Xenopus tropicalis: one gene and its partners. The protein of the gene in region 4 purifies or fractionates together with the protein of the main gene of each other region. This does not show direct contact. Links are inferred from orthologs where the notes say so. Each region holds a gene or a part of one and is shown on either strand. Other genes may lie near its edges. The genes, in order: cul4a, xpc, camk2d, wdr76, hells, numa1 and parp1.

Region 1 (3,500 bases), on a different chromosome or scaffold from region 4:
CCAGAATGCTCAGGACCTGGGGTTTTCCGGAAAAGGGATCTTTCCATAACTTGGATCTCCATAACTTAAGTCTGCTAAAAATAATTTAAATATTGAATAATTCCAATAAGCTTGTTTTGCCTCCAATAAGGATTAATGCTATCTTATTTGGGATCAAGTACAAGGTACTGTTTTAGTATTACAGAGAAAAAGGAAACCCTTTTCAAAAATTAGAATTATTTGCTTATAATGGAGTCTATGAGAATTGGCCTTTCCATAATTTGGAACTTTCTGGATAATGGGTTTCCATATAAGGGATACCTGTGCTAAATTTTGCGTAGCTTTAATCTCCCTGTTTAGCTCAAGAAAAAAAAAAAATTAAACAATAAGTGATTAAACAATAAGTAAAAAGTATGTCCAGTACTAACTGCTTTGATTACAGATAGCAATGCTATTCCTAGACAAGCCTTCCAACCCCTTAAACACACAAAATGTAGAGAAAATTGTTTTTTTTAATCTTTACACTTCTCAGGTAGAAGAGAGACTGGTATAAGAATAGTGACTGCTGAAAAAAAACATAATGTGCTACTTTTCTGTGTGATGATGTCTATCTATTTCACATTTTAAACATGTCTGGAACCCTCTATATCAGTGCGGTCACAGTACTGTGATTAACTGCTCCCCCTGCATGGTTCACACCTCAGATTCAGGCTGTAAACCCTCTGTATTTTTGAAAATGTAATCCGCTGTGTTGTTCACCTTTTAATCTCTGCATTGTTCACCCCCTGCAGTGTTCACACCTCAGGCTCAGACTGTAATCACCCACATTGTTCCCCTGTTCACACCTCAGACAGACTGTAGGAGCAGTAGAAACCCACAAATAATCCCTGCACACTACAAAAAGAACATATACTGAGGTGATACTGCAATTAAAAAGTTTTTTGCAGACTGTAGGAGCAGTGCCAGCATTGTGTCACTGTATGCTGCCTGTGTGTGCCATAGGGCAGGCAGAGTATTGCCCACACAGGCAGCATAGGGCAGGCAGAGTATGGCACACACAGGCAGGGTAGGGCAGGCAGAGTATGGCACACACAGGCCAAGCATGGCACAAACCCGCCAAGAATTGCACACACAGTCAAAGTATGGCACACGCAGGCAGGGTAGGGAAGGCAGAGTATGGCACACACAGGCAGGGTTAGGGAAGGCAGAGTATGGCAGGTTTTTGCTGTACTACAACCATTAATATGGGTATGGTCATGTGACAACACGGGTGTGGTTTCAAAAAGGGGAGTGGTCAAAACTGGCTTCCATTATCGGTCCTCCACCACGTAGGTCAGAAAAATTCCGGCCCTCGGTACCACAGAAGTTAGACAGCACTGCTCTATATACCATCTGAACAAGCTCCATGTTAGTACACATTAGCACAATAGAGTACTATACAGTAACTGTAGTTATTAATATACCTGATAATACCATTGCGTTTTGCTAAGTACCAGAGAAAAAGTCTACCCATGAGCTGGATAGGTTTGGGTTGCCAGGGTAATTAACAGTGCAGGACAGAATGGGTGGCTGGTTAAGACTTTACTAAAATAGCAAAGGAAAGTCATACCTGGTATAACTCCTCCAGGTTGTATTTTATAGATGTGCTACTTTCTATGGCATTCACTGCCTCCTGGAGCTTTTGCCACGTGTCCTGAGTGTAGCTGTCAGGCAGTTTTGGTTTATCTGAAATTTCAGATGTTACAGTCAGAGCAGCCATGCAGACAACACCATGTAAGGTCTAGTTACTAGCAGAGCATGTAAAATGTAACAAATTTGAAGAATTAATTACATGTGATCTCAGGGTATTTATGTATGGAATCAAACAGCATATTCCAGGGGCAAAAAGTGATATACTCCTTAAAAAGGCAGTAACTATTATGTTTATATACATGCAAATGAAGGTTGGTGTCAGGCACCTAAAAATAACAGATAAGATAATAGCAGATAAGGAGGTAGAAACAATAGGATTTCTACCTCCTTCTGCCGATTCAGCCCTGATGGCAGATTTTGGTCAGGCGCCTTCTATGGTGCCCGATCAAAATTTTCTAACCTGGCCGATCGGCGAGTCGACAGATTTCAGCAGCTTCCTGCGATATCGGTCGACTCGCCGACATGCCATACACGTACCGAATATCGCACGAAACGAGGTTTCGTACGATATTATCGGTGCGTGTATGGCCAGCTTAACACAAATGTGTCTGCTTACTGATGAACAATTTATGCACTGCCCCCAACCCCCGTCTATATAGAGCCAGCATTATATATAAAAATGCTTCAACAATGGATTAACCTTCATAGCATGTAAGAGTTAAAAAACAGATTAAGAAATACCTACCTTTAAAATTTTTAATAATTAACTTTTTGGAAGCTGAAGGCTTAGAGGTCAAGGCAGAGGACTTTGTGAGACCATTTGTATGTCCAGCAAGTGTTGAAAAGTTTGCTTTTTTCTGAGCTTCCTGTGCCATAGTGGTACACTGGTGAGCCACTCAAGGATTAAACGACATGAAAAATTAGGTTCCAAGAATGAGTGTCAGCAGAGCTCTTTCCCCATATTCTCACTGGAAATCTATATTTTACAAAATTGCGGAGATAAAAAAGCATGTTAGCGTTTATTTAAAACTTTAATGAGATATGGTTATCAATAACAATTACCATTATAACCCCATTTTCTTTATCCATATTGTTAGTTACATTGTAGGTCTGACCTTTATAAACTTCCCTCATATGTAATAAAAGGCACAAGTTTGGCCATAAGCAGTAACCTATAGCAACGAATAAGATGCTTGCTTTCAAACAGGTGATCAGTAAATTTTACCTTCGGATTGGTTGTTATTGGTTACTGCTCCTTTATTGCTGAAGCCCGTAAATATTTAAATTTCACTGTATATACATTGCTACAAGGCTCTAGGAAGAGTTATTCTCCCAGAAAAATTGGGTAAACAAAACTTTAGCAACTTCAAAAAATTGCTTCAAAATAAACACTAAAATTTCACTACAAATTCCCCACCCCAATGTAATAGTATTGTCATTTTTTTTTTTTTAAATCAAGTAACTGGTACATGATAGGGACTGTATCTCGTCTATTGTTTCTGTTTAACAAGTACTTGACATTTTTGGAAAAAGTTTGGGAAATTAATACATTTTAAATTAAAAACAAAAAGTTCACTGTACAGTTTGCTCTGCTTCAGCTAAACTTTCTTATCCTGTTCCACTCTCATATGCTAAGCTCTTTAAGTATCAGTGTTGTAAAAATAAATATAAAAGTATAACCGACCCTGTCCATGTGCTTTGTGAGACATCTGCTCTGATCCTGAGTCTATAGACCCTGCCATAAAGTAAGACAGTCCTGCATAAAAAGGATATAGAGACAGTCACATCAGAATTAGGAAATAAAACCCTCATAAAACTAAAAGTGACTATTACTATAAAGTAATTCTCATAATATAACACATTGTGTCTTTAATTACATGACACTATTC
Region 2 (4,093 bases), on a different chromosome or scaffold from region 4:
TTATCTACTGTAGAAAACTCACCAATGTGAAATAGTGGTCCAGGTGCTCCAGCCCCAGACCCTCATCTCTAAGTGAGTGACCAAGTCCCATTCATAACAGGAAGGAAAAATGGCCTATGATTAAATGTCATTTGGACACAAAACACACAAGGCTTGTGAGATGAAGGTATAAATAAAGTTTCTCTTGATTTTTTTACTCTTTTTTTGTTGGTGTATACGCAGTTGCCTTGAGTGCACACCCATTTTTCCTTCCTGAGAAGATTCGCTGCTATAGTTTGGAACTGAGCATGCCCAGTACCCAACAGCCAAAGCACATTTGTGAGGTAGAGGGGTGAGTGGATTAGAGGAGGAAAAGGAATCCTAAGTGATTAAGGGGATGCCTTACTATTAACGTGTAAAGATTTGTAAAGGTTTTAAAAAGACTGTTCACTGATTACATTGTTTGTGGGGGTGGTTTACATGTCCTTTAGGGCTGTGGCACTTACATGATTCTCGCCAGTGGGATGGCATTTTGGGGAGATTTGTCACCCACGACAACGGAGATTTGTCGCGGGCGACTAATCTCCTCGTGTGCCACAGCCCTTAAGGCACCAAGTTCATCTGCCCACAAAATCAGATGGGTGTCTTTCTGGAGCTTATTTGAACCATGAATGTGAAAGACTGGAATACTGCAGATTGAATAGTGTCGCTGGACACTATATCGTGTCTGGAAATTTGGTTCCCCCTCATCATCCCCGCAGCCAAAGTGCCCTAAATATGGATCAGTCAGACTGTAAATGGCTCACTAGATATATAAATTCATAAAAGTCCATTACCTTCCACATCCTCCCACTCATCTTCACTCTCTTCTGCATCCTTCGAGCCACTAAACTTTTTAACAGGCGTCTTGATCTTCAAATTTGGTGGATCTCTGTAGATTGCACAGCAAGAATTAAAAAGACTAAAACTCAAGAATGAGGCCATGAATGATAATCTAAATGTTTTTTATATAAAACCTTAGCCACATTTGGCAGAAAATTGACTTAGCAAGCAGACAAAAGTCTTGTCGCTAGTCTGACTCAGGAAATGACTTTTGTGAGCAGACGGAAGTCTTGCGATGAACTGACACAAGAATTGCTAGATGACTCCTTTCTTCTCACTAAAGTGGATTTTTTGCCAGCTGATTGGCAGAACTGAACAGCAGGCAGGGACACTGTTGTTTTAAATTCATTATATGAGAAGAGTAAAAACTACCACTATCTTGAAAACTAGACAAAAATAATTATGTAAATGGAAAAAATGATGAGTAATTTTATATTTATTTGTATTAAGTGCTTACATTTGACTTAAGCACATATACTACTGAAATCAGTACAGATCTGAGCATAAATAACATTGCATAAGAAATTTCTTAATTAAAGTGGGTTAGTAAATCTGAACTATAGACTAATAAACTACAGATATGAGCATGTGGGCTTATTTATACATGCATGTAAAAGCTCCAGCTACCTTGTTGTGCGCTGCGCTAAGACCACTTAAGGTGGCCATACACATAGCAATTTTGATCTTTCGATCGTTCCCACCCTCCAGTAACGTTCAGGGCTGAGTCGTCAGATATGGAGGTAGAAACAATAGAAATTCTACCTCCTTCTGCCGATTCAGCCCTGAACGTAGATTTTGCTCGGGGTGCCATATCAAAACCTTTTAACCTGGCCGATCGACTAGTCGACCGATATCCACAGCTTTTTGCAATATCAGTTGCCTCGTCAAGCCCCATACACGCACAGAGAATCGTATGAGGTTTTGTACAACATCATTGGTGTGTGTATGGCCGGCTTTATCCATATTGGCCATATTGACACAAGAATAAGCAAACATGGAGCAGACTTAGTGCATCTCTCCTGCATTGTTGTAAAACCAATCAACTCAACCAAGATGACTCACTGTGTTTGTTTTCCAACTGTTTTCCCATCATTTACAGTCGGTCTCTTGGCTACACAACTTTGCTTCGTCAGACTGTCACCGCAGGAATCTTTACTCTTCTTAACTGGGGGTCTCTTCTCTTCATAGAATTTATCTTCGTCATCTACATGGTTAAAACAAGATGCCCCTTTATTAAATAGGAAGGATGAAGAGCTAAGTGCAAACGACCTGTAATGTTCCACCAGAGCCCAAAGCATTGGTAGTTAATCATTTAGCACAGAAATAAAAGCCCATGCACAATTCAAGGGCTAACTCTGCCTATCTTTTAATATTGTCCAGATGGCATAATACTAACACAATCTGCAACTGGTCTTTATTTTTTATTTCATCTGGTCTCTGAATTATGTTGTCAAGGTTTGTATTTAATTTATCTGGTTTCTAGGGGTTACCTTAGCAATCATAGAAGAATCTTAAAACCAGTATAGTGAATAGTACAGGGCTGATGCCCATAGGGTTCAATCTGCACTCACTACAGTATTATTCCCAGCCTATTTAGAAACTCTGCACAGTGTCCCCATACAGTACCTATAAGAATTAAGTCTATTTAAGTCTGTGAATTAAGTCTGTGTTTAGATTTCATTTTACGTGTTACTGTATATCATTCACAAGATGAATGAAAATCTCTATAGACATGCAGACCCCATAGAAACTCACCACCATGCAGGGAGTCTATTGCCGGGCGGTTTCTCTGCTTGTTCCCCGCTACCGCAGCACCCTCAGACCCCCTCCGCTTTGCCATCTCCCCACAATTCTACCTCACATGTCCCCTCTGGTTGTATAACCCACACAACAGGAAACAATCTGTCTCAGACAATAACATTAACGCGTCACTTCCGGAACATACACATGTGCACCCCGCTGCCAGGCCTCCGCCACTTACTGCCCATACTCTCACATTATTGGCTGAGCTTCACATTCCGGCCTCCGACACTTACTGCCCATACTCTCACATTATTGGCTGAGCTTCACATTCCGGCCTCCGTCACTTACTGCCCATACTCTTACGCTATTGGCCGAGCTTCACATCCAGGCCTCCGCCTCTTACTGCCCATACTCTCACACTATTGGCTGAGCTACACATTCCGGCCTCCGTCACTTACTGCCCATACTCTCACGCTATTGGCCAAGCGTCACATCCAGGCCTCCGCCACTTACTGCCCATACTCTTACGCTATTGGCCGAGCTTCACATCCAGGCCTCCGCCTCTTACTGCCCATACTCTCACACTATTGGCTGAGCTACACATTCCGGCCTCCGTCACTTACTGCCCATACTCTCACGCTATTGGCCAAGCGTCACATCCAGGCCTCCGCCACTTACTGCCCATACTCTCACGCTATTGGCCGAGCTTCACATTCTTCCTGTGGCACATAAATATCGCGATAGGAGAATTGTCAGGGTTCTCGGCTATTTCCTTTGCGCGGGGTTTTGAAGATGGCGGACGACGGAGAGCAGGTAGGGATGTGGGTTTATAAGACTGGAAAACAGGTTCTGTTCGGTTCTCGGCGCAGTGCGGCATAAGGGGTGCTCCTGGCCCGGTCTCGCTTGGGAACGCGTATAGGGTTTTTTTATGTTGCGGGGAATTAAGTGAATGTTTATTCAAACTGGACTGTTTTCTCTTTTATTTCAAAGCCTTTTTTTTTTTTTAATCGTGAAGCACCGGTGGAGTGTGTTTATATTCATAACTAGCGATGTAAATCTGATTAAAAACCCAGTTGTTGTGGTCAGGAGTAAAATGAAATGTATGTTCTGTGTGGCTGATGGCGTCAATATATTCAAACAATAGAAGCACAAGGCTTGTTTTAGTTTCTATACCTCAGATTTCTGAGTTTATCTCCCAATTGACTCTTGACTCCTGTTTTTTAGGGACACATCCTATAAAATTTAAGAATATACTAGTGAATTATACTCCTAGATATAGGATTGTGCTTAAAAAAAAAAAAAGTTGTTTCGGACTGATTTGAGAATCCCCCCAAACCCCACTAGCCCCGCCCATCTGTTCCACTTCCTGCTGGCTGAATTCTCTGGATGTGCAGGGGAGCCGGGGCACTCTAAGATAGGAACCAATCAGCAGCTAGGCTGACCTGATAGGGAACTGAAGCCTGTCTGTGCTTTTGTGAGTGCAGGGCTG
Region 3 (3,435 bases), on a different chromosome or scaffold from region 4:
ATCTAGTAGAAGGAATGGACTTCCATCGATTTTATTTTGAAAATGGTATATTTCCCTATTCCCAGTTTTGTTTGTGTGTCTTTTTTTTGGAGCCAAAAAATGCTCCCCTTGACAAAAGTTACTTAAATGCCTGAAAAAAAATCTTTTGCACAGATACATGCTGAGGGATTAGAAAAACAAAGCTGTAACTGAAATGGTTTTCCAATAAATCAATGCATTGTTTTATGTTACTGATTTTTAGCGCTGTCCAAGAGCAACAAGCCAGTCCATACTATTATCTTGAATCCTCATGTTCATCTGATTGGAGAAGATGCTGCATGCATAGCATACATTCGTCTCACCCAGTATTTGGATTCCACCGGTATGCCAAAAACAATGCAGTCAGAGGAGACCCGTGTGTGGCACCGTCGTGATGGAAAATGGCAGAATGTACACTTCCATCGTTCTGGGTCACCAACAATACCGAAGTAAGGCTCATCCCAGTAAGCTGCTGGTTTATATTTGCCGCCAGTTTACTTCAGTGTTGAAATATGCATACATATATTATGACTAGACCTGCAACTGCAGTAGAACCTCAGTTTTCTTCCACAATTCATGCTATTGTAGTTTCCAAATAAACTGAAAAATTTATTAACCTGTTTCCTGGCTTTATATTATGTTTCTTTGCTCCTCTGGGATGAGGATAATCACAATGAAAATACATATTACAATTAATATTCATTATGTTCCAAAATTATTTAAAGCATACTGTTGGCACATTTTACCTTAAAGCCCTATGCCTCGTCACATCAGAAGGCACATATTTTTTGAGTTTGCCTTCCATTCAAGTTAATGTGAAACTCTACTGACAGCACTGAACCCAAATTAATTGCACACCCTGGACTTTTTACGGCACTCCCTATTGCCGTAAATGAAAGAAGACCCACAGAATTATAACTGTATATAGCAGCAGCCAGAGCAACTGATAAACCATACCCCTTCCTACATCTGATCATCATCTGCTAATGCAATATAGAATAAGGCTTATGTTGTTCATAGAACAAACATACCTTAAATGTGCTTCCAAATATGGTTAATATGGAATAAAAAAATGTGTTTAACCTTTATTCCTTTCTTTTCAGCTAAATAAACCTTGCAAGCCTTTATTTCAAATATTCAAGACAACTGGATGGTAAATTTTGGACTCAATCCCTTATCCTTTGTCCCAGCAGCAGGGTGTTTCCATAATTAAGAACATCTTCCTCCTCCGAGATCTGCTGCAGTCTACTCCTGCTCAAGTTCGTAACATTCCAGTAAATGGTGATTAAAGTGGATTCAATAAAATAAGAAGGCAGTTACAATATTGTTTCATTCAGTGGTTCATTATGATTTTGCCAAGTGTCTGTCAACTGAAGAAAGTCAGCTTTGGAAATGACCCATATCTGTGTGTATCTATAAGTGTACACACAGGCAACAGTTTTTTTTTCTATTAGACTTGATTATAACAAAAGTTTAGAAACAGATCAGTATAGATATAGAAACATATAGGCAGTGACTGCCTGGTTTCCAGACTATTGTGTCATAACATGGGAAATATCGTAGTCTAGCACAAAATACAATTTAGATCCTTGCTATAACAGTCATACACAGTAGATGTTGTACGTCACTTTGAATTACCTTCCAAAATAATGAAAATATAATTTAGATAGTCTGAAAGATTTTTGGAGTAGTTTTCTCTATTTCTTCTATATATTTTTTTTTATATACTCCACAGATAAATGTTTAATGAGTGTATATTGGTAACGATTGGGGGCTAATATAGGTAGTTTTTTTGATAATTAAGCATATGAAAAAGTACAATTTTACATTCAGGGTATATAATGCTTAAAAGATATATGTATTTTTTGTGTCCGTATAGTCTTGAAACAATACTTAAACTATTGTGTACTGTATGTTGTAAAGGATATGGGCTTTAAAGGTTATAATAATAGGGATGGAAAATATAACTACAATTTTTGTGATGGGTATTAATAAATCTATTTCTGCACTGCTTTAATTTTACCAATAACTTTCTACTGATGCTAACCTGTTTTGTCCCAGTGCACACTATTTGCTTTTGGTTAATGATCTGCTACAAAACCACAATTGTTTTTTTTATATAGATATATAAACTAGAGGGAACTTTCAACACTATATGCAGGGAATGCTATTGTTGTCTGTAAATGTTTTCTAACGGAAACTTTGGTGAACTGGATTTATATTGATCATATTCAGTATCTGTGCTACTAAACCTGAGCCCCCACCAGGGGTTGTGCTTCATTTCAACATTAGATACATGGTTATGTTGAACAAGTTTAGGGGCTGGTTACTTTAGTGCTGTGCGTGCATGGTGGAGCGGTGTCATTGTTTTCCTTGGTTTGCATCCTGAAAAATAAAAAGACTTTTGAATTCGCATTAATCCAACCTTGTGAAACTCCAAGCAATTCTTTTACGACTCTACATGTTGTTCAGTAGTGGATGTGAGCTGAGTAATGCTAACAAATAAATATACACACAATTTTCTACACTATATCAACCAATTAATGTGCTGAGCCATTTTAACCTGCCAATGAAATCTGTGAAATTTTAATAACAGCAATTTGTTTTCTGTATATCTTTATTCTAGATGTGCTTCCACTGTTAGTATTTAGTTATCGTGTGCTGATATTAATGTCCAGTTACTATGGTAGCTTCATATACTTAATTAACAAAACTAGCATGAAATGCTGACATAGTACTGTAGACCAAATCTGTCTTCCACACGGCCATGTGAGGAAACCATTACTAAACCTCTGCACCATGGTGAATATATCATCCTTTGAAATGTCGCAATATACTGATGGGCACAGTGTATATATTTCTTGCCATAAAAAGATTGATATAACTAAAATGTCAATAAAATCGTGGATTAAGTTGATGGTGTTGCGAGTGTGTTTTCTCTTTTATTCTTTTGAAATTAGAATTACTGTGGTAGTTTAAATATTAATTTATAACTAGAAAGAAGTTTGAGAACAAACTTCATGTTGGTTTAAATATATTGGAAAAACCACTGTGCAAAGTTTGGGGACCGTAGTATTAATAGTTAATAAATGGCAGCAGTTTAAATTTAAACCAATAAAAGTCAATAGGTAAATTGTGATTGGTGGTTGGTGGGTGTGCCCACTTTTTCTAACCTTGATTCAAATCACCCAGTGACAAACAGTGGGCACCCTGGCATAAATAGTGTGAGAATGGCAGCATTTTAAATTTAACTAAATAAATAAAATTCAATAGATGAAATCTGATTGGCTGTTAGTGGCCCAAACCACTTTTCCAATTTTTCACCTGCAGTCCCCCAGTGACCAACTTTGCAAAGTTTGGGGCATAAAAATTGTGGGGCTGACAGCATTTTACACGTCACCATTGAAAGTAAATAGG
Region 4 (4,193 bases):
GACAGAATACTTGCTTGGATTTATGAGTCATAACTTACAGAAAAGGCATGAGAGTATTTTTCGTCACTTTGCAAGCAAAGCCTGCCAATACATTAACTTTTCAAGTACATTGGTGGACATTATAGACAAATAGTGGGAGAACAGGAGCACACCCCTATATCAAGTTTGTGGAATATCCTGCCGGGTGATGTTATATTCTATTAATGCCTTTAAGAGTGGCTTGGATTATTTTTTTGAACAAACACATTACATAGGGCTATTGTAATATTAAAATCTACAGTTCATTTAGTTATCAGTATATGATGAATATGAAATCCAGTCCCTCAACTGCATTATTATTTAAAACTGCAGCAAATATGTTAAAAATCGCTGAACAGATTACCTTTTAATACCACGGGTCTGATTTGATTTCTTTGGGGGTGAACTAAGACTTGAGGCAGTCTGTAATAAAACAAATACAGTGTTCAAATTAAAAAAGAAATTTATATATATATATATATATATATATATATATATATACATACATACATACATACATACATACATACACACACACACACACACACAAGTACAACGTAAAGTAAAAGACAAAATTTCAACGGGTGTGAAAACTAACAGTTTTTTAGTGAGTAGTGAGCCTGGAAATTTTTTGGCAAACCGCCAAAAAATAAAGACTTCAAAATAACTAATAAAAATAAATATAAAGAAATAAGGAGTGCAAGGCGGCCAGAGATTTAGTGCAAGCACAACTAGGTTATACAGGTATAAGCCTGTCTCCCATAGACTCCATTTTAATCAAATAATTCAGAATTTTAAAACTGATTTCCTTTTTCTCTGTAATTATAAAACAGTACCTTGTAATTGATCCCAACTAAGATATAAATAATCCTTAGTGGATGCAAAACAATCCTATTGGGTTTAATTAATGTTTTATTGATTTTTTAGCAGACTTAATGTATGGAGATCCAAATTACGGAAAGACCCCTTATCCAGAATACCCTTGGTCCTGAGCATTCTGGATAACAGGTCCTATACCTGTACTGCATTATTTGGGTATTTGCCAGGTAACTATTAGTACTAATAATTTGACCATTTCCTTCAAAGTTAGTTACATCTGGCTGCCAATGTTGGCTAGGGGTTCAGACTAAATACTAAGTAATTAAGAGTGGTCTGGCTCTAACACATGGAATGCTTGGAGAGAGGAAATAAAAAACACACCTCAAGTAATTTTAGTGATGCCAGAAACTTTGCATTTTCTTTAATGTTGTTCAACCTTTCAAGTTCATATTCTGACAGTTCTGTAACCTGCAAAAAACAAAGTATAAAGGTCTGGTAACAATTTTTTGTACAATAAAAATCTATAATAATGCTACTCCTCATCAAAACGTGACCAGCAGACAGGAAGACTTAAAAATAGGGAGTCCGTCATCTGTAGCTGTTAACCTTTTTGTTAACTTTTAGTATGATGTAGAGAGTAAAACTTTATGACAATTTGCAATTGTTTTTTATTACTTGTGTTTTTTTAATTATTGTACTTTTGTTCAGCAACTCTCCAGTTTGGAATTTCAACAGCTATCTGGTTACTAGGGTCCGAATTACCCTAGCAACCAGGGAGTATTTTGATTCAGTGGCTGGAATATGAAGAGTAAAGGGCCTGAATAGATAGATAAGTAAAAAAAAACTATAGTAACTATAACAATAAAATTGTAGCCTCACAGAGCAATAGTTTCTTGGCTGCTGGGGTCAGTGATGCCCATTTGAAATCTGGAAATGGGCATCACTTAACATGAAATTGAAAGCAAGTGACAACCAAAAAAAGGTTAAATGTTTTTAAGGCTATAACGAAGGTAACAGACATTTACCTGTTCGGGGTTTTGTTTATAATTTTTCTTTGGCGCAGGAAGAGTGTCTGTTTCTGTCTTCTGATTTTCAGGTCTCACTTGAGACAGCAAAACAATGGGGTGTTTTCTTGTTGAGGACTGTTCTTTTGGGAGACGTGATCTCTTAGTAGGTGTACCATCTTCAAGCTTGTCCGTCTCTAGAGTGCGTTTCTGTGGACGATTGGGCGCAACACATGCTTTATTAGGAGAATGCATAACAGCATGGGTACGGCGGGTACTACGACGTAAACCCTCAGGAACCCGACTGTCTTTAGGTGTAGTTTCCTATTGGATAAGAAAAAATAAATATTCTTAATATTTCAATTGTTTACGGACTTTCTACTTAAGACCTTTGAGTAATTGGCTGTTAATCTTTTTTCTGGTTCCCTAAGACACATAAAATAGGATTTGACTGTATGAATTGATAGCTCTGGGTACAAGCTTTGCACCAATGAATGTCCACTTGTTTCACAGAATATGCCAGTTGTTGGTGTGTTCACAAAATTGTTGTATTTACAGCAACATTGTGTGAAAAAGTGATAATATAAAAATTAACCAATCACTGCAGTTTATGGGGAGGGGGTGGGGGGTCGCTGTTTTTGTCTTCATAAAAGTATTGCTGTTATTCATGGCGCACATTTTGTCTATCCTGCTTCTCACCTGCTCTATCTGCGCTGTCGCTTTCTTGCTCTCCATGTCTGAACTCATTGCGGCGCGGTCCTGCGTTCTCCTCTCAGGCAAAGCCTCTCCTTATGCAACACTCTCCCACTTATATAACTGAATGCCAGAATGAGCATCTACTAAGCCTCAAAAAGATTCCCGCCGCTTCAAGTTGCATAACCAGGAATAGCAGTGCGGAAGTGACGTTGTCTAAGCGCAAAGTTTCATTGGAGGAAAAGTTGCAAGAAGTGACAAGGCTTCCATAGTCAGCTGGCTAAATGATTGTGTCAGGGTGCAAGCTCCTTCTGTCCAATTCAGTTCATAAACACACATAGTGATAGTTCGAGTCCTTCATAGTGTCCCAAACAACAACCCCACCAGTTTCTTAATCCCTTGCTTCCATCCGCAAAAAAGTCACACATTTCCTGAAAAATATATCTTAATAAATTATGTAATTTGCCTCACAAAAATATATGTACCAGCTGTGGTAAAATATGCGGCAATTAGAAGTCAGTAAGGAGAGTAATTTGGCGGGACTGGGCCTGCAAAAAAAAAAATAAAAAAATCCACCCTGCATATAATCACAGGTACTTTCCACACACGCAAAATTGTGCAGCACCAGTGGGGTTTGCTTCTTTTGTAGTCAGGGCCGCCATCTGAAACTTTGGGGCCCCCCATGAACACAAGTGCCAGTACCAAAATATTGGCCACGCCCCTTGTGTGCACTATAAACAGCTGGTTACTCTATAATAAGCAGTTCATATTGAGTTCCATTGATTAATGTGCTAATAATTCAGTTAGTTTATTGGGGGTCAGTGGGGTTTGCCCTATGTTTAACTTCTTCCCATCTACCTGACCCTGCTCTGTGCTGTCATTGCTTGTTATGGAAGTTAGGTACGTTTTTGCATAAGTTACGTAAACTGATACAATTGATCAGGCACTGATATAATTTAGTAAATGGATCCCAATATAAACAGAAGATGTTACTCTATAACAGTGCTGTCCAGCTTCTGTTGTACAGGGCAGGAATTTTTCTGGCCTAAATGGTTGGGGGCTGATAATGGAAGCCTGTTTTGACCACTCCCATTTTTAAACCACACCCACTTCAAACCACACCCATGTTATCCCAAGAACTTTTAAGACCATACCCACATTAATGGTGATAGGGCAGCAAAAACCCAAATGGTGCTAACTGTAGGGTCGCCAGTTAGAAAGCCCTCCTCTATAATAAGCAGTACATATAAATAGGCACAATTGTACCCCCCTGATGGTGGCCCTGTCGGTAGTTGTGCCACTTGTCGCATTCCTTTATATGGGCATGAAACTTACTGGTGACTTGCATAAAAATCACTCTGTGGGAGATGGGCTTTCCATGTGTCAAAGCTTTTTGGATAATAGGAATCTGCATAAAAGATATCATAAGGGGCAATGCTGCCAAAAGGCCAATTGAGAAACTCGCCCCAGGGTTGGCAAATAGCTGCTCCCTGATTTTTAAATTAGAATTTTGTTAGTCGCCAAACAAGCAGATCTTAACGTGTATAACGTGTAAAATACGTGGGAGTGAACTTTCTTCCATATACAGAGCTCTAGCATTTCCAAAAAAATGCTAAATATGGTAACATCATGGAACAACCTCAAAATATCTAGGCTGGG
Region 5 (4,175 bases), on a different chromosome or scaffold from region 4:
TAGGGAAAGCTTCCCCATATCAATCATCTTCCAATATGATTTCCCTTTACACTGTAATAAAACAGTACCTTGATTTCAACTAAGAGAATCCATATTGGTGGCAAAACAATCCTATTGGGTTTACTTTGTTTAGATGATTTTTAGTAAACAAGGTATGATTATCAAACTTACAGAAAGACCCTCCCCATCCAGCACTACCCAGGTCCCAAGCATTCTGCATAATACCTGCATCAGTTTAAATTCTGTTTCCATGTTGGTTAAATACTAGATACACACTTTTATAGAAACGGACAAAAACCTCATACTTTTCATGCATATTAACATGTTGTAGCTTCTACAAAGTGCTAACCTTACAAAGGTTGATAATCCCTTTTGTAACAGAACACACCCATGAAAAGCACATGCCCTCAGGGTAGTCAAATCTACCAGTAGTTATATAAATCACCATGAGTCAAGCGAAAGTCCCAAGGTTCATAAATACATCGACAGAGAACTCAGAAGTTGATGCAAGAAAGCACAATAGACAGAGTTCTAGCTGCTAAACTACAACTACACCAACATGCCTTGAATACTGCGAGCTCTAGCACAACATCCCTTAGCTGGCGGATGCTGTAATGTTTTATCTAGTTTTAAGGGTTTTAATGGCAAAATAGGATTCAGGACTCATGATTAGGACAACAGCAAAAAAGGATTACGATTTTAGTAACTTGGCTACTGTGCTGATGTGTTTTAGGCAACTGGACTCTTTCTGGTGCAGAATCTATCCAGTGCGAACAGGATTCTAATTAAGTGACAGGCATATGAAACACCACATATCCTATTAATCTTAGGCACATAGGGGAGTTTGTTATGTTTGTTATATCACTGTAATCCGTGTGCATGTCATTGCCCCTAATGGTATATAGCACTAATCCATCTTCACACGGCAGTGACAGGTGGGGCAGGGCATCAAAAAGCTCACTTTTTTTTAGCATTGGTTGCCTGTCACTGTTCCATATGCTTTCAACACTTATTATAAAACATTAGAAGTGGAAAATGAAATTTTAACTGCTGCAGAGGTAAAAAAAGCCCTTGCGCCATAGCCCTGTAACCTGCCTCTGAACACATAAGTGGAGTGGTGCCCTATCACCAACTGGTACACTGGGTACATTAACAGGGGCACTGCTGTCTTCTACTGTACCTGCTCCAGACACAGTAGAAGACAGCATTCACTATAACTCAACACCTGGTGCCTTCTAACCTTTATATATTCATATAGCACCAACAAATCCCAGAGTTCAATTGAAGGGTGCATACAAACATACAGATACTAATAAATATGGAAGGAAAAGAGGGCTCTGCTCAATACGTAAGTACATGCAGAACAGCATTACACAGGGGCAGGAGAGCAGGGTGCTGTACAACAGAGCTAATACAGGCAGGAGGGCCCATTACACAGGGGCAGAGAGCAGGGTGCTGTACAGAGCTAATACAGGCAGGAGGGCCCATTACACAGGGGCAGAGAGAGCAGGGTGCTGTACAACAGAGCTAATACAGGCAGGAGGGCCCATTACACAGGGGCAGAGAGAGCAGGGTGCTGTACAACAGAGCTAATACAGGCAGGAGGGCCCATTACACAGGGGCAGAGAGAGCAGGGTGCTGTACAACAGAGCTAATACAGGCAGGAGGGCCCATTACACAGGGGCAGAGAGAGCAGGGTGCTGTACAACAGAGCTAATACAGACAGGAGGGCCCATTACACAGGGGCAGGAGAGCAGGGTGCTGTACAACAGAGCTAATACAGGCAGGAGGGCCCATTACACAGGGGCAGAGAGAGCAGGGTGCTGTACAACAGAGCTAATACAGGCAGGAGGGCCCATTACACAGGGGCAGAGAGAGCAGGGTGCTGTACAACAGAGCTAATACAGACAGGAGGGCCCATTACACAGGGGCAGGAGAGCAGGGTGCTGTACAACAGAGCTAATACAGGCAGGAGGGCCCATTACACAGGGGCAGAGAGAGCAGGGTGCTGTACAACAGAGCTAATACAGGCAGGAGGGCCCATTACACAGGGGCAGAGAGAGCAGGGTGCTGTACAACAGAGCTAATACAGACAGGAGGGCCCATTACACAGGGGCAGGAGAGCAGGGTGCTGTACAACAGAGCTAATACAGGCAGGAGGGCCCATTACACAGGGGCAGGAGAGCAGGGTGCTGTACAACAGAGCTAATACAGGCAGGAGGGCCCATTACACAGGGGCAGGGGAGCCCATTACACAGGGGCAGGGGAGCCCATTACACAGGGGCAGGGGAGCCCATTACACAGGGGCAGGGGAGCCCATTACACAGGGGCAGGGGAGCCCATTACACAGGGGCAGGGGAGCCCATTACACAGGGGAAAGAAACATGTTACTTCTATTGTAACAAATCTGAGAGATACAATCACAATTGTTACACATGTAACAACTTTTTTCCTCAAAGAGGCCCTGGAAATAGAGGAACAGCAAAAGCCCCCTTATTCTAGCCAAACCCAGCCCTGTACTAGGTGGCAGCCCCCCCATCCCTCAGACTTATTCCTAATCTTGCATGAAATGCTTGCACAACCACAACAATCATAAGAAAATAACGCATGCATGTCCGCAAGCATTTATAGACAACGGGTTTGCTACTAAACTACAACTCTCAGCTTCCCCGAGTTCTAGTTTTATAACATTTCCGAATAGCAATAGAGAAGTAAACCCCAGCTACAGAACATGCGGCAATGTCTCTGTACCCTGTCCGGCCGAGCTGTGTCCCACAGGCATGGTGCAGCGTTTCCCTCAGCTCCGCCACCACTCGCGCCAAACTTTCTACAGAACTCGCGCGTTCAGTCACACAACGGGCTGGCCACGCCCCTCGCTTTCAGGCTGCCACGCCCCAAATAGTGACGCCGCAGCTCCGCCCCTGCTCGCCGGGGAAATGGCGGGAGAATTAGCGGAAATACAGATAGCTACCTTGGGCTAGTTATAGTGGAAGGCGGGACTGTAGTCCTCTTGATCGCCATCTTATTCTAGTTATTTTTTGTGCGTGAGACAGAAGGTTTATTTAGAGGGCTTGTTTCGCGATGTGACTCCTTGCGTTTGTAGGCATATAGTGTTTTTATGTTTTATTGAAAACTATACAAAATATAATTAACATGTTAGGTTGACGTGCTAACAACACATAACAGACGATCACATTTGCCCCAGTCCGTAGGCATATAGTATTACACCACTGAAATCGTCTGTAGCTCCTAGGCCTGCCCTTTACCTAAATTCTGGTGAATGGCTGAAGGGCCCTTGTGAGATGGCACAGACAGCTGTTAAGTAATGGGGTTGTCTTCAACAAAACCATGCCTATTAATGGAGTTATATTTAACAAAACACTGGCTAGTTTTGTTGAAGATAATGACTGAAAATGCCCAAAAGTATCTTGAGTTTTTTGTTCATGGTGGCATCAGAAGCCCAGTTTTTTGGGTTTTTTTTTTTGTGCAGACAAAGGCTAGTTTTTTACAATTAAGTTATAGCATAAGGGCTAATTTAGGAAAAGAGTGGGTAAAATTAAAAAAAAGTCATAACTCTGCAGGCCATTAGCCTTATCGGGACTTAAGGTGGCCATACACATTAAGATTTTATGTCTCACTGCATTAATCCTCCTTTAGGAGCCTTCATCTCCTCACCAGTGGCAGGTTTTGTGGCCATTGTACTTTTAGCTTTGAAATGGTTATTAAAGGGTGTATGAAAATTTTTGTGTGGTAGTATTGACAGTTTTGACCATTTGCCTGTTTGTGACTTTGCCTTCTCCCTCTGATTTTGTACGCTTAGGTTCCCTAGCCTGCCCAGAACATTTGCCCTGGTTCTCTCACATTAAGTCCTGGCGGCACCTGAGTAGCAGAGGGCTCCTCCCGAAGCGAAAGGTGGCTGTTATAGGCAGAAGAGTGAGCTCAGACTAGGGACCTTGGGTTTTGTTCTGGGTTTTGGGATACTGTGTGTGACATTACGTTGGGCCCAACATGGACCTTGAAGGTGCTGCTGCTTCTTCCGCTGCTCCTGAAGTCATGTTATCCAATCTCCTCCAGCATCTTGGGGAACAAGAGGCAAAGCAAGACCAGATCGTCCAGTGCCACCAGAGCCTTGCTGCTAGATTATTACTGGACGCTCTGTTGCTGCTCCTGCTCCC
Region 6 (3,500 bases), on a different chromosome or scaffold from region 4:
CCTTCTTCAGATGTTGAATTTGTTCCTCCATCTGGCAGGAGTTCTGCACTATCTTCTGCTGAGACTCTTCATATTTGGCCTTCCAGATGTCAACCACCTTAGACAACTCGTCCCTTTCTGCTTCACGCTGTTTGATAGCAGCGCTGGATTCTGCCATTTTTGCCTGCAGGGTTTCATTTGCTGTATGGTACTCCTCCTGTAAGTGCTTCAGCTGAGATTCAATCTTCTGTCCAGCGGCCCTTTCTTCAGCAAGGTTACTCAGTGCTGCATCTCTGCTTTCACTCAACTTCTTCATCTCCTCTTCAAGGTGGGAAATTCTTTTACCGTCGCTATCAAGAGAAGCAGCAAATTTCATTTTCTCTTTCTCTAGATGTTCCCTAAGATGTCTCAGACTTTCGTCCATAGACAGGAGCTGTTCTTTAAGTTGCGAGTTTTCTTCGGACACCAATTCACAGGAGGACACCTTCTTCTGATATATTTTCAGTTGACTCTCCTGCTCTGAAAGCTGTGCCTTTAGAGACTCCACAGCGGCTGCATGAGATTTGCTCTGTGAAGCATTTTCACTATCCAAGTTCTGGCATTTAGCAAGCAGATCTAGAATGGTGGCATCCAGTTCCTGTAGCTTGGATGCCAGCTCTGCCTTTTCCCTTTTCAGCTCCTCTATAACAGAAAGACTAGCTTGATGATCTTGTTCCAGTGTTTTCATGGTCATGTTTAAGACACTGAACTCTTCATCCTTTTTGCACTTGTACTCATTGAATGTGGAAAGAGTGGAATCTCTCTCACAGGCAACTTTCTGCTGTTCTTCTCTTAAATAGTCAACTTCTTTCGCCTTGCTCTCTAGCTGTTGTGTAAGTCCAACCAGATTGCCCTCGGAAACCTTCAAAGAGCTACTAATTTGCTCCACTTGGTTTACAAGCTCCTGAATGTTCTGCTTTGAGGATTCTTCCAGTATTTTGAAGTTTTCCAAGAGCTGATTTTTTTCTCTCTTCTCTTCTTCCACTTGATGGTGAATGCCCTTCAGCTCTTCCTCCTTATGCACCAGGGAAGACTTCAGCTTGGAGATCTCCAGTTTTAATGTTGTAATCTGGCATGTCAGATGTTCCTGTTGTGCCCTGGCCTCGTTATCTTGCCTCTCCTTCTGAAATGTTATTTCTGACAATGAAGTCTGCAGGTTAGTGACTATCTCCTGCAGCTGACTTTTCTCAGATTCAAATCTGGACCTCTGTGCCTCCATGTCAATTTCTGTAGTGCTCTTTTCCTCTTCCAACTGATGGATCTGTTCTGTTAGACTGAGGCACTGGGTGCTGAGCGCAGTTACCTCTTGCTTCAAGTCTTCCAGCTAAAGGAGAAAAAAAAAAAACAAACCTCAGTAAAAAACGTATGGTACTAACAGTCTTTACAGTCTCCATGCATCCATCCATACCTTGAGGATGTCACCCATACAATCTCCTTTTTCTTCCACCTCTCTCTCCCCCATCTTCTTTAGCTGATCCTCAAGCATTGATATTTTTCCCTGCAGTATTAAGTGATGCTCTTCCAGATACTTCTGCAATAACAAAACAGATATTAACGCCAAATCCACAGAACAATCTTTGTATACTTTTATATAACGGAGGAAAGGACCTTGCAGAACATACAAATCAGAAACAAAATATCACTCCGGAGAAACGTGTCAACCAACCAGTCGCAGTTTTATTTTATACTGCACATCGTGTTTCAGAACCAGTGATCCTTCATCAGGATCTGAAGCATGTTGTGTATATAATAAAACTACAACTGGTTGATTGACATAGTTCTCCGGAGTGATATTTTCTTTCTGATTTGTAAAGTCTGGATGGCGTGACGGTGCCTCTACTCTGTAAGAAAAACCTATGTACAGAAAATAACGTGGTAAACTTCACTCACTATTTTATTGTGATCCTCACAGAACATATTTTATCTAGGTGAATTAGAAGGAAAAAGGAGGGCGTTCTCAAAAGGGAGGTAGGAGTGCACCAAGAGCCCGGGAATGTGTACGGTGAAAGCTTGGGAAGGCAGCATGTAATGACAATAAAGGGTAGTAGTGAAGGGTCCAAGGGAGACATATCTGGGAAGGGCATGGGATTTGGCCTGTGCCATCTTTCAAAAGGGCTGAGCCACCCCAGGGACATGTGTGCAGGGAAAGATTGGCAGAGCCAGCGGGAGTCGCATAGTATGCCTGCTGTCCAACTTGGGGCCCCTCTCAGCACTAGTCAACCGTCTACCAAAGTGAAGGAGGACAGGTAGAGGCAAGTAGGGCGGCTTCAAGTGAGGGATGGAGCACAGAGACCCAGTAGACCAGGGATCCCCAACCTTTCTTATTTGTGAGTCACAGTCAAATGTAAAAAGACTTGGAGAGCAACACAAGCACCATAAAAGTACATGGAGGAGCCAAATAAGGGCTGTGATTGGCTATTAGGCAGCCTCTATGCACCCTATCAGCTTACAGGGGCTTTATTTGGTAGGAAATCTTGTTTTTATTCAACCAAAACTTGTCCCCAAGTCAGGAATTCAACAATAACTGGGGGCACTGAGAGCAACAGCCAAGGGGTTGGTGAGCAACATGTTGCTCACGAGACACTGGTTGGGGATCACTGCAGTAGACCTTCCAGTAGGAGAACAACCCCAAGAATCCACACCACATGGATGTCCTGTCTAACCAACAAGGACCCATAAGTCCCCTGGCTGCCACTTTTAGCCACTGGTCAAACAGGCAGCCTGTGTGTTCCCCAGCCCCACGGAGGACAGCACAAGAAGGGGCAGAGTTACAGCCCCTGTGGGAGGGGTCAAGTACAAGTTGAAGTCAGTTATTTTTAGTCTTCTGCATCCTGATGGTGGACGCTATATTCCTACAGTTCCTATATCACCTCGATAAAGGAGAAAATACCCTTCCGAAATACTTTGAAAGGGACACTAAGCTCACAATAAATATTGGTTCATAAATGCTACACCTTAAAAGGCATATTATGAATTATCAAAGGCTACCATGCTGCCTATCACAGCAACCTTCTGCCATGTCCATTATCTGGCCAATGGAGCACATCACACAGAACATGAACAACGTGTTATGATCGTTTGTTAGCATCCCCGAAGGTCAAGCTAAACCAAGCAGCCCAACACATCTGATTAAGCCATTAATTCATTACCTTTTCACCGACTGCACCACTCAGCTCACTCTCTAACTGGCTCTGTTTCTGCTCCCAGTTGCTCAGAGAAAGCTCGTGTTCCTCTGTGGTTTCATAGAGAGCCTCCTGCAGTTGTGCCAAGCGGTTGGATAAGTCTCGCACCTGCACAAAGACACATATGGGATGATATATATATGTATATGTATGTGGGGAAGTGAAACTTGTCATGTGACATGGAGGATTACAAGACCTTGTAAGAGAGCTCGCCATTCTCCTCGGCCAATTGATCGTTCTTGCGTTCCAGTTGTTTCTTGTCAGTCTTCATATCCTGACACTGCTTGAGGGTGTCCCGAA
Region 7 (4,228 bases), on a different chromosome or scaffold from region 4:
AACCTGCTAACACAAGAAATAAACCCAATAGAACTGTTCTGCCCCCAATAAGGGGTAATTATATCTTAGTTGGGATCAAGTACAGGTACTGTTTTATTATTACAGAGAAAAGGGAATCATTTAACCATTAAATAAACCCAATAGGGCTGTTCTGCCCCAATAAGGGGTAATTATATCTTAGTTGGGATCAAGTACAGGTACTGTTTTATTATTAAGGAGAAACCGGAAATCAATTTTAAAAATCTGAATTATTTGAATAAAATTGAGTATGGGATATAGTCTTTCCGTAATTTGGAGCTTTCTGGGTTTTCAGATAACTGATCCCATCCCTGTATATTAAAAGCAAAGTTCGATGTTCCAGACTGCAAAACAAAGCACAAGGCCACTTACTGAATTTTTCTTACTCGGGTGCATTAACTTCAGCCAAAATAGATACAATTCCCATACACAGAGAAAGAGGGGGTCTTGAATAAAGACCAAAGCAAAACTGTTTATCTGGACTGATGCCTAGAACTGTGCTTCAGTGTATGTACATCACTGCTGATCAAATCCAATGCAATCAGATGAGATCACTTTAGTCTGGTCTCCCCACCATCACCTGGCATGTATGTGGGGGGGCACTGGCTGACCAGTATGGGGGTACAGCTTATTGCGTGCCCAGAACATTCCTTCTCTGTATATTTGTATTTATACATATGGGTAGGGGGTGCCATAGTGTTTCCCTTAGACAGTACAGTATGGGGGTACAGCTTATTGTGTGCCCAGAACATTCCTTCTCTGTATATTTGTATTTATACATATGGGTAGGGGGTGCCATAGTGTTTCCCTTAGACAGTACAGTATGGGGGTACAGCTTATTGTGTGCCCAGAACATTCCTTCTCTGTATATTTGTATTTATACATATGGGTAGGGGGTGCCATAGTGTTTCCCTTAGACAGTACAGTATGGAGGGCATCATTTTGTGTGCCCAGAACATTCCTTCTCCGTATATTTGTATGTAGATAGGACTCAGCTGGAAATCCCTTACTGATACTACCTAGTTAGTCTCAGTTCAGCACAGTAATCATGAAGGAAGGGGGTGGGTGCTGCAGAGCCACAGGGGCTAATAAAGTGCCCAGTGTGACACCAGCCTTTGTTATCTAGTAGAGACAATTGCCCCGGCTCCCCCCTGGGTTCTGAGCTGCTCGGTATGTATATAGCCTTACAATGGGCCCCCGGCACTGTAAAGTCTTGTAAATACAGGCCAATGGCAGCCTCTGGGAACACGGGGCAAATATTCCTCTTGCTGTGCAGCTCTACGGTGGGTGTGTAAACATCCAGAATTGCCCTGGCTTCTCCCTGGGGGAGGGGTTTGGGCAGATACAGAAACAAACTGTATATAGGATCCGCCTTCTTATTCCCAGTATTGGTACCATGTTACCCCATTCTGGGAGAAAGACCAACAATTTGCCCTGGTTCTTTCCCTTAACTTCCCTGGCTTGCCAACAGAATACCCCAACACAGGGCAATAACAGCCCATCACTGGGGCAATTACCTACTATACATCACAAACCTACCGTTTGACAACAGTCCCCATTCAGGGGCAACAAGCCCCCCTACAACTCATTACTGCCCTATACCTGAACTCAAAAGTACCCCAGCTGGGGCACTTACCTAGAGCATGTTATCCATTGGCTTTCACAACATACCTTAACCTGGGGCAATAACCTTCCATGACACCCCACCTTAGGACCCGTATTCACAATAATAACCCACTGGGCTGGAGGGGGCACTTTCCTATACCCCATTACTAGGGCAATTAGCCCAGGGCTAATAACTTACAAACTGCCCATGCTGTATGAGCCACACTAGCCTCCCCATAGGCAATAATGGCCCATACTGTATGAGCCACACTAGCCTCCCCATAGGCAATAATGGCCCATGCTGTATGAGCCACACTAGCCCCCCATAGGCAATAATGGCCCATACTGTATGAGCCACACTAGCCCCCCATAGGCAATAATGGCCCATACTGTATGAGCCACACTAGCCTCCCCATAGGCAATAATGGCCCATACTGTATGAGCCACACTAGCCCCCCATAGGCAATAATGGCCCATACTGTATGAGCCACACTAGCCCCCCCCATAGGCAATAATGGCCCATGCTGTATGAGCCACACTAGCCTCCCCATAGGCAATAATGGCCCATACTGTATGAGCCACACTAGCCCCCCATAGGCAATAATGGCCCATACTGTATGAGCCACACTAGCCCCCCCATAGGCAATAATGGCCCATACTGTATGAGCCACACTAGCCCCCCCATAGGCAATAATGGCCCATACTGTATGAGCCACACTAGCCTCCCCATAGGCAATAATGGCCCATGCTGTATGAGCCACACTAGCCTCCCCATAGGCAATAATGGCCCATACTGTATGAGCCACACTAGCCCCCCATAGGCAATAATGGCCCATACTGTATGAGCCACACTAGCCCCCCCATAGGCAATAATGGCCCATACTGTATGAGCCACACTAGCCCCCCCATAGGCAATAATGCTGCAGCCCAGCCGGGCCCCTACCTGCACCATGAGGGCAAGCCGCAGGGACTCCTTGGCGATGTTGTCTCCGCATTTCTTACAGGAGGCGCGGCCGCTCTTGGCGTACTCAGCCCGATAAAGTTTCTCCGAGGCCTCGGCCATGGCTGCAGGGAGGAGCGGCTCCTACACACAGGGACACTCCGGCTCCCACTGGAACAGCGTGCAGCCCCAAGCCCGCCACACAACAGAACAGGCACAAGCAATCACCGCCAGAGTGCGCGTCTGGGCCGCTTTGCTTCCTGGCATCCGGGGAACGGCAATCCATTGCCCATGTCTGGGCAGGGAGGGCGTGGCCCCAGCACACTTAGTGACGTCACTTTCCCTAGCTTATCTGTGTGTCTGTGTGAGAATTGTGAGGAATGTTTGTTTGTGTGAGGAATGTGTGTCTGTGTGAGGCAAAGTATTATGTAAGGATAATAACAAGGCGTCAGATTTGTGTCTTGTGACTATATGGGCACAGAACCCCTCAGTGACTGCTAATATCCTTATCATTTACAGTAGGGGGTACATTATCCCTTATAATACATGAGTGATACTCAGAGTTCCCTGTATAACTCAGCCTGCAGCCTTGTGCCTTTATATGGGGGGCACAGAACCCCTCAGTGACTGCTAATATCCTTATCATTTACAGTAGGGGGTACATTATCCCTTATAGCACATGAGTGATACTCAGAGTTCCCTGTATAACTCAGCCTGCAGCCTTGTGCCTTTATATGGGGGGCACAGAACCCCTCAGTGACTGCTAATATCCTTATCATTTACAGTAGGGGGTACATTATCCCTTATAATACATGAGTGATACTCAGAGTTCCCTGTATAACTCAGCCTGCAGCCTTGTGCCTTTATATGGGCACAGAACCCCTCAGTGACTGCTAATATCCTTATCATTTACAGTAGGGGGTACATTATCCCTTATAATACATGAGTGATACTCAGAGTTCCCTGTATAACTCAGCCTGCAGCCTTGTGCCTTTATATGGGGGGCACAGAACCCCTCAGTGACTGCTAATATCCTTATCATTTACAGTAGGGGGTACATTATCCCTTATAATACATGAGTGATACTCAGAGTTCCCTGTATAACTCAGCCTGCAGCCTTGTGCCTTTATATGGGGGGCACAGAACCCCTCAGTGACTGCTAATATCCTTATCATTTACAGTAGGGGGTACATTATCCCTTATAATACATGAGTGATACTCAGAGTTCCCTGTATAACTCAGCCTGCAGCCTTGTGCCTTTATATGGGCACAGAACCCCTCAGTGACTGCTAATATCCTTATCATTTACAGTAGGGGGTACATTACCCCCTATAATACATGAGTGATACTCAGAGTTCCCTGTATAACTCAGCCTGCAGCCTTGTGCCTTTATATGGGGGCAGGGCCGCCATCAGAAATCACGGGGCCCCTCACAACAAGATTTTCTGGGCCCCCCCTCCTCCCACACTCCCAATGGCCCCTCCCCCAGTGACCCCTCCCATCAATACAAAGGACATACAGACATTGGTAGCCAGGGCCCCCCTAAAACATTGGTGGCCAGGGGTTACATTTTACATTGGTGCCAGGGCAGGTACCCCCTAAATCAATGCTGGCCAGCCCAGGGCCCCCTAAAACATTGGTGCTCCCCCCAAATTACTCATACTA

Evidence for each region.
Region 1: the proteins of wdr76 (region 4) and cul4a purify together in Homo sapiens (affinity purification with western blotting; 3 studies listed by BioGRID). This does not show direct contact. The link is inferred for Xenopus tropicalis from reciprocal best matches to the Homo sapiens genes WDR76 and CUL4A.
Region 2: the proteins of wdr76 (region 4) and xpc purify together in Homo sapiens (affinity purification with mass spectrometry; 3 studies listed by BioGRID and IntAct, with this or other methods). This does not show direct contact. The link is inferred for Xenopus tropicalis from reciprocal best matches to the Homo sapiens genes WDR76 and XPC.
Region 3: the proteins of wdr76 (region 4) and camk2d purify together in Homo sapiens (affinity purification with mass spectrometry; 3 studies listed by BioGRID and IntAct, counting the BioPlex papers as one, with this or other methods). This does not show direct contact. The link is inferred for Xenopus tropicalis from reciprocal best matches to the Homo sapiens genes WDR76 and CAMK2D.
Region 5: the proteins of wdr76 (region 4) and hells purify together in Homo sapiens (affinity purification with mass spectrometry; 4 studies listed by BioGRID and IntAct, counting the BioPlex papers as one, with this or other methods). This does not show direct contact. The link is inferred for Xenopus tropicalis from reciprocal best matches to the Homo sapiens genes WDR76 and HELLS.
Region 6: the proteins of wdr76 (region 4) and numa1 purify together in Homo sapiens (affinity purification with mass spectrometry; 3 studies listed by BioGRID and IntAct, with this or other methods). This does not show direct contact. The link is inferred for Xenopus tropicalis from reciprocal best matches to the Homo sapiens genes WDR76 and NUMA1.
Region 7: the proteins of wdr76 (region 4) and parp1 purify together in Homo sapiens (affinity purification with mass spectrometry; 4 studies listed by BioGRID and IntAct, with this or other methods). This does not show direct contact. The link is inferred for Xenopus tropicalis from reciprocal best matches to the Homo sapiens genes WDR76 and PARP1.

What each region holds. Positions count from the first base shown.
Region 1 is NC_030678.2:116,028,784-116,032,283, forward strand, and holds part of cul4a (cullin-4A), read right to left. Parts: intron 3,368-3,500; exon of another isoform or gene 3,296-3,367; intron 2,588-3,295; 5' UTR 2,487-2,587; coding exon 2,357-2,486; intron 1,705-2,356; coding exon 1,589-1,704; intron 1-1,588. UniProt on the Homo sapiens protein: Core component of multiple cullin-RING-based E3 ubiquitin-protein ligase complexes which mediate the ubiquitination of target proteins. As a scaffold protein may contribute to catalysis through positioning of the substrate and the ubiquitin-conjugating enzyme.
Region 2 is NC_030680.2:132,920,450-132,924,542, reverse strand, and holds the start of xpc (DNA repair protein complementing XP-C cells), read right to left. Parts: upstream 2,801-4,093; 5' UTR 2,702-2,800; coding exon 2,617-2,701; intron 2,066-2,616; coding exon 1,924-2,065; intron 911-1,923; coding exon 816-910; intron 1-815. Other genes in the region: U6 snRNA-associated Sm-like protein LSm3, read left to right, coding at 3,397-3,417. UniProt on the Homo sapiens protein: Involved in global genome nucleotide excision repair (GG-NER) by acting as damage sensing and DNA-binding factor component of the XPC complex. Has only a low DNA repair activity by itself which is stimulated by RAD23B and RAD23A.
Region 3 is NC_030677.2:69,358,044-69,361,478, reverse strand, and holds the end of camk2d (calcium/calmodulin-dependent protein kinase type II subunit delta), read left to right. Parts: coding exon 1-45; intron 46-241; coding exon 242-467; intron 468-1,121; coding exon 1,122-1,125; coding exon of another isoform or gene 1,126-1,129; 3' UTR 1,130-2,935; downstream 2,936-3,435. UniProt on the Homo sapiens protein: Calcium/calmodulin-dependent protein kinase involved in the regulation of Ca(2+) homeostatis and excitation-contraction coupling (ECC) in heart by targeting ion channels, transporters and accessory proteins involved in Ca(2+) influx into the myocyte, Ca(2+) release from the sarcoplasmic reticulum (SR), SR Ca(2+) uptake and Na(+) and K(+) channel transport.
Region 4 is NC_030679.2:118,344,340-118,348,532, forward strand, and holds the start of wdr76 (WD repeat-containing protein 76), read right to left. Parts: upstream 2,801-4,193; 5' UTR 2,589-2,800; coding exon 2,541-2,588; intron 2,166-2,540; coding exon 1,863-2,165; intron 1,306-1,862; coding exon 1,219-1,305; intron 442-1,218; coding exon 383-441; intron 1-382. UniProt on the Homo sapiens protein: Specifically binds 5-hydroxymethylcytosine (5hmC), suggesting that it acts as a specific reader of 5hmC.
Region 5 is NC_030683.2:39,204,604-39,208,778, reverse strand, and holds the start of hells (lymphoid-specific helicase), read right to left. Parts: upstream 2,801-4,175; 5' UTR 2,783-2,800; coding exon 2,752-2,782; intron 1-2,751. UniProt on the Homo sapiens protein: Plays an essential role in normal development and survival. Involved in regulation of the expansion or survival of lymphoid cells. Required for de novo or maintenance DNA methylation. May control silencing of the imprinted CDKN1C gene through DNA methylation.
Region 6 is NC_030678.2:178,866,037-178,869,536, reverse strand, and holds part of numa1 (nuclear mitotic apparatus protein 1), read right to left. Parts: coding exon 3,397-3,500; intron 3,309-3,396; coding exon 3,168-3,308; intron 1,550-3,167; coding exon 1,427-1,549; intron 1,343-1,426; coding exon 1-1,342. UniProt on the Homo sapiens protein: Microtubule (MT)-binding protein that plays a role in the formation and maintenance of the spindle poles and the alignement and the segregation of chromosomes during mitotic cell division.
Region 7 is NC_030681.2:7,987,469-7,991,696, reverse strand, and holds the start of parp1 (poly [ADP-ribose] polymerase 1), read right to left. Parts: upstream 2,801-4,228; 5' UTR 2,687-2,800; coding exon 2,567-2,686; intron 1-2,566. UniProt on the Homo sapiens protein: Poly-ADP-ribosyltransferase that mediates poly-ADP-ribosylation of proteins and plays a key role in DNA repair.